2 linked regions of the Drosophila melanogaster genome follow. The protein of the gene in region 2 interacts with the protein of the main gene of each other region in a pairwise test. Each region holds a gene or a part of one and is shown on either strand. Other genes may lie near its edges.

What was found.
Region 1: the proteins of Bro (region 2) and run interact in binary tests that used the Drosophila melanogaster proteins (3 or more experiments, as listed by UniProt).

Annotation. Positions count from the first base shown.
Region 1 is NC_004354.4:20,689,106-20,696,673, reverse strand, and holds the start of run (runt), read right to left. Parts: upstream 6,005-7,568; 5' UTR 5,662-6,004; intron 2,564-5,661; 5' UTR 1,982-2,563; coding exon 1,273-1,981; intron 864-1,272; coding exon 40-863; 3' UTR 1-39. UniProt on the Drosophila melanogaster protein: Plays a pivotal role in regulating the expression of other pair-rule genes such as eve, ftz, and h.
Region 2 is NT_037436.4:1,646,282-1,649,119, reverse strand, and holds Bro (brother), read right to left. Parts: upstream 1,252-2,838; 5' UTR 1,216-1,251; coding exon 574-1,215; 3' UTR 508-573; downstream 1-507. Other genes in the region: CG17249 (uncharacterized protein), read left to right, coding at 1,720-2,838. UniProt on the Drosophila melanogaster protein: Regulates the DNA-binding properties of Runt.

The sequences.
Region 1 (7,568 bases), on a different chromosome or scaffold from region 2:
GTTTTCTTCATTCCTCCAGATTTTTGGGGATCAGATGCCCTAGTAGGGCCGCCACACGGTCTTCTGCTGCACGGCGGCGCTCTTGATCTTGGTGGTCGTTTCCGGCGACGGCTGGCGGCTGTTGGCTACCGCTCCAGGACCGCTCTCGTGGTAGAGCGGCTTCATGGCCGAGGGCGCCTTCAGGTCGCAGCGCATGCGAAGTGGCGCCACATCCAGGCTCTTGTCCAGGTCGAACTCCGATTTGACCACGTCGATCTGCTCGTCGTCGGAGTCGCCGTCACTGGCGGACTGCTCGTGGATGGAGCTCGTCTCGATGGAGGTGTTTAGCTTCAGCAGGACGTGTTGCTGGGTGGGCGAGGAGCTGGAGGGCCTGGAGGAGGCGGGGCTGACGTGGACCGGCTCGCTCTGGTGGTGCAGGGCAGCATTGCGGGCCCGCAAGCCAGCTGCCGCGGCAAAGTTATACGGATGGAAGGCGTGTGGCGTGGCTGCCTTGGCGGCGGCTGCGGCGGCCACATGGTTGAATGGGAACTGCGGAATGGCATAGGGCGTGGCAGGCGCCGCTCCCGGTGGCGATGGCATCATGGCCGCCGGTTGTCCCGCCGCCGCTGCCACTGCTGCCGCCGGATGGGGATACTCAGATGGCTGAACCGCCGACGAGGAGCTGGTGGCCACCGATGGATTGGGATTTGGCGACACCGAGGAAGCCGAGGACTTGGCCAGTGCCGGATGATGCACCTGGGCCGCCTGGGCGGCTGCCTGGTGGCGGAAGTAGTCCGCATAGCCGTAGGTCATGTACGCCGCATCCAGCCAAGCGGGATTCAGCATGAACGGGTTAAACGCGCCGGGATGGGGATAGCCATAGCCTGGAAGGATAAAGAAAAAGGGCGGGAAGTCAGTAAAGCACAACTCGTATTTCATCGGAATGCGTTTTTAAAAAGGTTGGGGGGATGGTGGGGGATTTGGTTGGCGGCAATGGATCTCAAGATCCTTGGATATGTGTATCAAAACCGAATTGCAAAAGGATAAGCAAAAATAATGATAAAATCTTTAAGATAAAGTGATCAATGCAATCATTTCAAAACAGACTGATCATTTAAAGTTGAGCTTAAAAATGGCATTAGTTATTTAAGATCATAACTAGTTAGTGTTGGCAAATGTTTTCAAAACTATGAATATTGTAATTGAAGATATGCAAACGGTTTCTGAATTGGTTTTTTGGGGATCTTTGGGAGTGGATTAAACTGAAAACATAATGGAAACTAAAAAACTCACTTTGCTTACTTCTTGGCTCCCGTGGCCCGTCGACGGTCACCTTGATGGCTTTGCTGTAGCTGGCGATCTGCACCGGATAGGTGGCAATGGTGATGGTCAGCGTGAAGGACTTGCCGCGTCCCGATCGTCCCACGAAGCGCAGATCGTTGAACTTGGCCACCTGGTTCTTCATGGTCGTGGTGCAGTTCCTCAGCTCGCCGCAGTAGTTTTCGTCGTTGCCGCACTTGATGGACACCAGGGTGCCATCGGGCACGTCGTCCAGGGCGATCACCTTGAAGGCTCCGGGCAGCGACTTGTTCGACCGCCAGTGATTGGGCAGGGCGCTGCAGAGGATCGAGGGCGATCCGGTCTGGGCCAGCTCGCCGTGATACTCCTGCAGCATCTCGTGCAGGCTGGCGAACATGTCGGTCATCGAGCTGGGCATCTTGGCGGAGTTCTGCGGACTGGTGGTGGCGTTGCTGCTCGAGCTGGTGTTGTTCGTGCTGAGATCTGGTGTGGAGCTGCCCGTGCTGCTGGCCGAGTGGGTGCTCGTGTTGGCCAGACTCTGGGCGGGATTGATGGCGATTGCGGAGGCGGTGGTGGCATTGCTACTCTGCTGCGGCCCAGGACCCTGGGCTACCGCGGCCGCTGCGGCGGCTGCTGCGGCGGCGGCAGCGGCCAGGACCTGTGTGTTGTTGGCCACCATCGTTGGACCCGCTGGCAGATGCATCTCGTATCCGAATGTGGAAATCGTAGCCGTAATCCTGGGGCTGTCGACAATTGCCGGTTTTCTATTGCGGATTCTCGGTATGCACTTCACTTTATCGGGGGTCACTTGGAAAAAATTCGTTTGTTTGTTGTTATTGGATTGTTTCGCGATTTCGAACTCTGCTTCTTTCGAGCCTGTTTCTGTTTTCCAAAGTCGAAAACGATATATTTCTCTGTGCGTTCTCGACACGCTAAAGTCGCTGAGTGAACTGATTCTCTGCTGCGATCGTTGGCAGTATTTAAAGTGGAATGCGCTGCTCGCCGCCTCTGTCGACGGCTCTGCCGGCGTTTGTGCCCCGTCCCACTTGCACGGCGCTAGCGCCGTCTCTTTCCCGCCCATTATCCTGGGCGGTATGGTGGTGTGGTTGGCTACCTACGCACACAGGCGCGCCTTTAAGGGTGCCGGGGCAGGTATATATCGGTATATCGAGCAACCACCATTGCCGCCGCAACAACAACCACAGCAAAAAATTTCCCATTTTTCCATTGCGGTCTCTCTGTGTGTTTGTGTGTGTGTGTGTGTTTGGCTGTCGTGTTAGTGTGCCTGTGTACGTGAGAGAGAAGTCGCTTGTTACTTGTGGCCAAAAAGGAAAAAATAACAGCGGAAAAAAGGAAAATCGCATGGGCGAGAGCGAGAAAGAGAGAGAGAGAGTGATGGCCTGGAAATTGCACCAAAGAAAAACTCAAAAAAGAAATACACCGAGACTTTTCCACTCTCTCGCTCTGGCTCTCGCTTCCTCTCTCGCTTTTCCCCACGGGCGGTCTGGAAATTGTGTGCGTTTTCCTTTTCTTCGCTTTGAATTTTATTTTTTCGCCACGCACGCCAAAAGAAAAACGGCCGTGCAACAGTTTCCCATTTTCCACTTCCAGCGGCGCGCGTGTTTTGGCGGCCCTCCTGCGGAGGGGTTCGTCGAGGGGGGCGGGGGCGGGTGGTACAGGTAGGCACCCATGGCCAAACGGGGGGTTCCCTTCACCATCTCCTTCTCGTTCCCTTGCCTTCCCTTTCCCGAGTAGCTAGGATGCCAGGGGCGTCCTGCCGACAGGACATGAGGACTCAATTAGTCAGTGCGAGGAGGGATCAGGTTGCGAAATTATCATAAATATTATCACAAGCATCAGGAGAGCTATATCACTATGACTTTGGGATAAAAGGATTTAAGCCTTTTAATTTCATGGGTGATACGATTGTGGAGTTTGGAAAATTTTGGAACATGGGATTTTCAATTATGATAATAATCTATAGTACATATAGTACACACTATCCCATACTATCATAAGATGAATTATATTTTCCTTTATATTTGTATTTATTATCATATATTTAATTGCTTTCGAAGGTATCTTATCGATTAAGATGAAGATGCCGAAAAAAATATAATAAATATAATAATATATATATATATATATATATAATATATATATCAACATAAGCACGATATTTTAAATACATCATTATTAGTGCTACAAATCGTTTTAATAATCTGTTCAAAAAACTAATCATTTCCAGTGTTAATTTTTTTTTTTTTGAATATGCATCAACGTTATCCATATAATTTCATTTCAAATAAGTTAAGTTAAGTAATTTAAGATCAGATCTAATTAATAAACATATACACGTGCATAACAGTGCGTCCCATTGTTCGAAAATGTCCCAAAAATTAGTGTTTCATTCAAAATAATCAGAAATCCCCGGCTGATCATATTACGGCACACTGATCCCTCAGTGTTGCTCAATGTTTTTCTCGATTCCGCCCAAAATTTACTTTATCGCCGATCTCGGAACTCGGAACTCGATCAACTGATCTGCAATCTCCGATCTGAATCTGTCCAACTAACACCCATTGTCAGGTCCGGTCCACTTCCAGTACTATCTAAGATGCAGTGCCATCGATCTCTCCGGGGATCGAACTTAATCCTAATGCTGATCGGGCGATTATCCTGCGATTAGTCCTGTAAATATTTGTGCGCCTCTCAGTTCGTGTGGCGCAATCCGGCTCGATTTCATTTCCATTTTCGCTGCCTGCGATCGCCGATCCTTGATTGGATCAGGTTTAGCTAGCTGATCGGATTTAATCTGATGCGGAAGTGTCATACTTGGAAGAACATCGAGTATCTTTGGCTGCCTACATTGAACTCTCTTCAAACTAATCTACGTTTACTTAGGTTTTAAGATTTGTACATTTTGCTTAGCGATTGGCTAAGTGATTAGCACATACATAGATAGTAATTCAGATTACGAAACTTAGCTTCAAAAACGAAATATGAACGATTTAATTAACTTAATGTAAAATGGATTAACTGTGTATTAATTCTTAAGAGCTGCTGAATAACACTTGACACTTGACTTGACAATTTAAAGTAATATTCTCAATTCCTTCAACACTCATTTCGTGCAGTGGAACGCAAATCAAGTGCCTGACTGGCCAAAAAATTGCGGCCCACCAAAACAACCTTAAAAACGAGGCCACACAGGACCCGCGAGTTTTCCGAGGTGGCGGACTCTTCCAGGCACCGCGTGGAGGAGGAGGAGAAGGAATGGGGAGCATGGCCATTCTGGTAGGGGAACTACGAGGCAAGACCAACCAAAATGTCGCGAGAACGCGCCGCTCTCAGCTGGACATTATAGACGCACACTTCCAGTAAATCCAGTGTATCGGCAGCGCTGCCTTTTGTACGTGCGCGGCCGCTCGCTGCGAAGGACCTCGTGTCCCTACACCGATTTCACACCATATAGCCCCGGGATATATGGCAGGACAGCGCAGGTTTAGCGGGCGTGCGACAAGGACGCGATTGCCGATGGCCGATTGACGATTGCCGGTTTCCCGGGAAATCAGCGCTCCTGTCGTCGCTTCTTGGATCCTGCTGCGATTCCTTGGCAATTTGCGACAGGAGCTGCCGCAGCACGCGCATCGCAGGACCCGCAGGACCGCCTCATAGGGATCACCGAGCACCAGGCAGTACCTGATCTCCATACCGAACTCGCTACGAGCCCACAGCAGCCAAAAGGATCAACCCTTTTTTTATGGGCCCTCCGATGCTTTTTTGCGGCCCCAAAAAAGTGGGAAAACTATGGGTTTACTGGCTTTGACGTACCTGGCCCTCAGATGTACCATCGCATGTACTGATATCGCACCTCAAAACAGGTAGTCCAACCGCGCAATCTTAATCCTTTGCTTATGAAAGTCAATCGCCCGGATTAAGCAGCACGCCCCGCAAATATTTTGGCCGATTAGCCGCCGCCACGGGCCATAAAATATGTTCCCAAAAAATAAGCAACGAGCATCTGATACGGAAAGTGCCTACCTGGCCACCAAAAACTCAAAGGACTTCGCTTTTTAGCGGGATTAACCGATGGGAGATTAAGGCGACAGTAACCTGTATTCATGTACTCAATATATGCAATGTTTTTCTCACTGCTGTTGAGCAGTTAATTTAAAACAAAAAAGAGCGAGGCTTAATTAGCTGAATTTACTTCTGTACTTCACCATAAAAAATCACTCCCGACTATTTCTTAGTGCAGATATTTTTTGTACAGTAGTTTAGTACGCAAGCTACTTGAATCTGTAAGATACGGTTTCATCTATGCAAATGTCGTGAGCGGTAAATAAAACTTCCAGTGCGATTAAAAGCTTCTGTACTTACCGATCTTACGCAATCTGAACTATATCTTAGTGCAGATTATTTAGAAAAGTATTTTAGTAATCAATCTACGATACAGGCTGCTAACTGTGAGATACGATTTCACTTATGCAAATACCGTGACGTTCCTGAATAAATTTCCTCGAAATGAATGGGTATCAGAACTACGATCTGTGCATTCCGCACCTCCGAGGAACGGACAAACCAGTACTCCGTTCATCCCCCAATCACCACGGCGATCAGTTGAATTATTCATATACGTGCGCAAGATCCCTCCCCCTCGCAGAAAGAGACGGCACCAGGCGAACGAAAGAGAGGCACCTACGCTCGAGGGGCTGGGGTAACCGCAGAGATCGGCCAACCGTTGGCGAGCAGATGCTACGGAAATAGCTGACATCCAAGAGGGGATGATTTATTAGTAGGGCGATCGTTATGGGAGAGAACGAGACGGCTGCGCCGATCGTGGCTCCGCCTCTCCTCATGGAGCTCCTCGCACAACCGTTATCCAGGCTATACTGAATGCACAGGGATCCCAGGAGCCAGGAGCCATTGACCACGGAGAACCCCAGAACCCCCAACAAAAATTACCGACAGAGAGCGGAAAACTCTGGCACCGTGGAAATTCCAGTGGCGCAGGGGAAATGCTCACTGCCACAGGAGAATAAAAAACAAAAGCGACTGCCAATCGAGGAACATTTTTGTACCCTTCGGTGTTTGGTTAGTTTAACTATTTCAAATGACAAGTGAACAATAACAATATTGATGCGTTTTTGAAACGATTATAACGACGAAAAACTGTTTTAACTAAGCATCTGTATAAAGTGAAACTGAAATTCAATTTAAATTATTTAATTTAAGCATGAAACATATTTTGTAGTAAAAAATTAAATATCTTTTAATAGCTCAAAAGCGTTTATAATAAATACAATAATCAATTTATTCAACAAATATTTGTAAAGTATTATAAAACGTGCATAAATGTTTTGTTTTTTTTTTTTAGGGAAAACAAACTTATTATTTCGTTATGAATATATTTGAAAATATACTGAAAAGTGTATTTAACAATTTGTGCCGCCAATTTGCGCATTCTTCTTTATTTACAAAAGGCAGCAGTGGAAAAGCGGAAAAGCGGGCAGCGCGGCGGCAGCGGACCGACTGCGACTGCGGCTGCGGCGTTGTGTAAGTGAATTGTGGTTTGTTGTTTTGGTTGTGGCGCTGGCAGTGCTGCCGGCAGCGACGTCGGCAGCGACGTCGGCAGCGGCTTCCGACCGCTCCTCCCCATCCCCCTCCCCCGCTGGCGACGTCATTCAACCCTCGGAAAAAATTACACCACAGCCGGTTCACCACTTTCCATTGGAAAACGCTTGTTTGAGTGATTTTTTTTCTGCGTTCTGGGGGTGTTTTTTATTTTCTTTCGTGTGGTGAAAAACGGGGAATGAGTGTGTTTCGGGTTTCCTTCTGTTTTTCTTTTTACCTTTTCCTTTTTTTTTTTTTTTTGGTTTTCTTTTTTTTTTTATTCTTTGCCTTTGCGACACTCCCACAAAATTGTGTTTTGGTTAGGTGGCCATGCATTGGCTGGCTTTCCACCGTTTTCCACACACTTTTCCGACTGCCAGCTGTTCTTTGGCCCGTGTGCGCTACTCCATCTTGGCCGAATCCCAGGATCCTTGGATTGCTTGGGACACATGTCATGGATTTTTCAGCGATCATTTGTGCTCCTTGTGTGCACATACATATATATTTCCTCAGTTTTCGTTGACTTGGCCCCTCTCTATTTACTTAAGAACAATGGATTTTTGGCAGGAACGATCCGTAACCATTTTGAATGGACTTTCTTTTGGGCCCGCGACAATTAGCCAAGGGAAAATGGAAGAGGCGAAAATTGGTGGGGGAAAATATGCAGCTGTCCG
Region 2 (2,838 bases):
TTCACTCGACGCCTTTCCGCTTTCAGTTCGGAAAGAGACTGACTCGGATTCGGATTCAGATTCACATTCAGAGCAGTTGCAAAGTTTATTTCGGCAGCATCCCAAACGGAATGGCGGAAAATCAATACGTGCTCACGGGACCGGTGCTCTGGCCGCATCGAGAGTCAAGAGAGGACAGCCGCAGCCACAGCCGCGACAGGCCCACCCCGGAGAGTGGAGAGCACGGCGGAATGGCGGAACGGCAGCTGGACCCACTTCACCATCCTCGGGCAGTCGGCTCGGGTGGTGGTTGTTCCGAAAGTGGCGCAAATGAGGCCAAAGACCCCGGCTAGCAACCCTTAAGGAGGCCCAGATAAACAATCATTAGGTGAACATGAGTGGCTTTCGCCAAATGAATGACACACAAAACTCGGAAACTCCTTGTGAAATGAGAGTTTTAGTAATTGAGAGCAGATATTACCATTAGTGTATTAAACATAATCTCAGTATTATAAGAGCACGATCAATGGGTTTCAGATATTTATTGTTGATTTACTTAGATGTTACTTAAAGCTATGAGGGTAATATATAGCACTACCATCCCATTGGTCCTCTAGGCAGACCAGGCCCACCTCTGTGATGGTGATCCTCGGGTGGAGTCTGGGGCGTGTGGTAGATTCTCCTGGACTCAGCCATGCGCTGGTTGTAGCTTTGAATCTGCTCCTGCAGCTGAGCATCCTCCTGCTGGGCTCGTTGTTCATCGAACTCCAGGCAGGCAGCGCCATCCAGTCGGTCCAGATCCACCCAGCCCCGGAAGCGGACGCACACCCCGTTCATGATGAAACTAGAACGCAAATGAACTTTGCCCCGCTCCCGCTCGAAATCGCAATCCTGCTCCTGGGCGTACGGATTGTGGTTGGCGTTGAAGTAGAGCTGCAGATTAGTTCCTGAAGCTACCATCGATATCTCCGCATAGCCCTTGCGGCAGTCGTTGACAAACCGCATCCTGCGCTCCTCCATTGCACGTTCCCGGTATCCTGTGTAGCGAACCTCGCTCTCCCTACTCAATCGGCGGAAGAGCTCGTCGCTATCGAACTTGGACCTCTGGTCAGGCACCACGCGGGGCATCTTGAAGATGAATCTGGGCTTGGGCTGCTCGTACATAGCCATGGCTTCGTATGGCGGGATCATTCCATTCATGGCGGCCGCGTCTCCGAGATTCTGGTGATGATGCATGTCTAATGTTATAACTGTATTCTCCGAAAGATATAGTTGTACTGATCAATGTTAAAATTGACCGCCTTATTTAAACAAAAAAAAAAAGTTGTAGAACAGGTAATCGGGAGCGATTGGGCTACCTAACGAATCCCCTAATTGTCGCCTGGTAATCAAGGATGGAAACCATCTGGACACAATAAGGATCAGGTATAGCACTTATAAGTATCCTATTTGAGGTTTGTTTTATAATCCGTAGGGTTTTTACAGCTCCGAATATTATACTTTGAGGATTGCAGGTATAATGCTATCATAAATAAAACGAACGAATTGAACGCACTATATAATTTTAAGTTTAAATTCGAAATTACGTTTTAGCGGTAATTTTAACAGTGTTGGTTAGCACAGCGCTTAAGCAAAGGGAGTTGCCAACCATGGCAGCCCAAGCAGGTGACAACTCTAGAGTCCGGGCACATTAAACAGCTGTTGTGTATTGTATTGTTTAACTTTAGCAATTTTATAAACATGTCGCTTGTTGCTTATGCTGCCAGTTCTGATGAAGATTCGGAGAACGAAGAGGAAAATTCTGTACCACAAGTGGAAGTAATAAAACCCCAAGCCAAGCCGAGCACACCAAGTGAAGCGTATCTAGCTCGGGAATCAACCAGTGGTCACATTAGTGATGAAGATGACGACTACGTTCCCCAGGAAGTGTCCCTTCAGGAGTTAAAGCCGCCCAACGGAAGACTGCTATTAGCCTTACCCAAACCAAAAGTCACTGCTCCCGCTAAGGATCTGGAAAATGAGGATGTGGACAACCAGGTTACTTCCGCCTTTGCCAACCTGCCCATGCCACGAACAGCAGCGAAAGGAAAAGCCATTGTAGAGGAGAAAGACGATGAGTTTCTGCACAAAAAGGCGCTGCCCGTAGAAATAGAGAAACCTCCACCGCCGCCAGTCAAGGGAAAAGTAAAAATCAGCATTCCTTCACTAAGAGATTTCTCAGATGTAGACCAGGAGAAAGCTGACAGGGCTAAGAACAAAGTTGATAAGCCCAATGTACCCAAGGGATCGGGATTGTTGAGTCTGCTGCCCCAAGCAAAGTCGGAGCGCAACTTCTCCAAGAACTCTTCATCCGCGGTAGCCTACCCATCAGCCAGCACTACTCTTGCTTCCAGTCTAAGCAATAATCCTGCGCAGCCTCGAGCAGCACCAGCTTTTGTTCCCGATACAGTTAAGCAGCGACGAGCTGCACACAACACCGAAGGCGTAGATGGCCCTAAGGCCGGGCACAAGAAGAATCCTGAGACAAAAGACGCTTTGAAGTCAACAAAATCCAAACCTATAAGTAAACCCACTTCGCTGGTAAATGCCAGCGATAGTGAAGATGATGACGAAGATGGCACTGGAGACTTTTTCTCCCTGAATTCCGAGCAAAAGCTGCCTGAGGTGAGCAGCAACGAGATTAGCGCTCTAGTGGCCAAGCGAGCGGCCAAGATGGTGGAAGCCAGTAGCAAGTACCTAGAGGAGGTAGCCGAGAAGGAAGCAGCCGAAGCAGAAGCCGCCCGACTTCAGGAAGAGCAGTCTCAGATTGCACAAAAGCGCTACCATGAGCAACAGTTAAACGCAGAGGCCATGGACGCA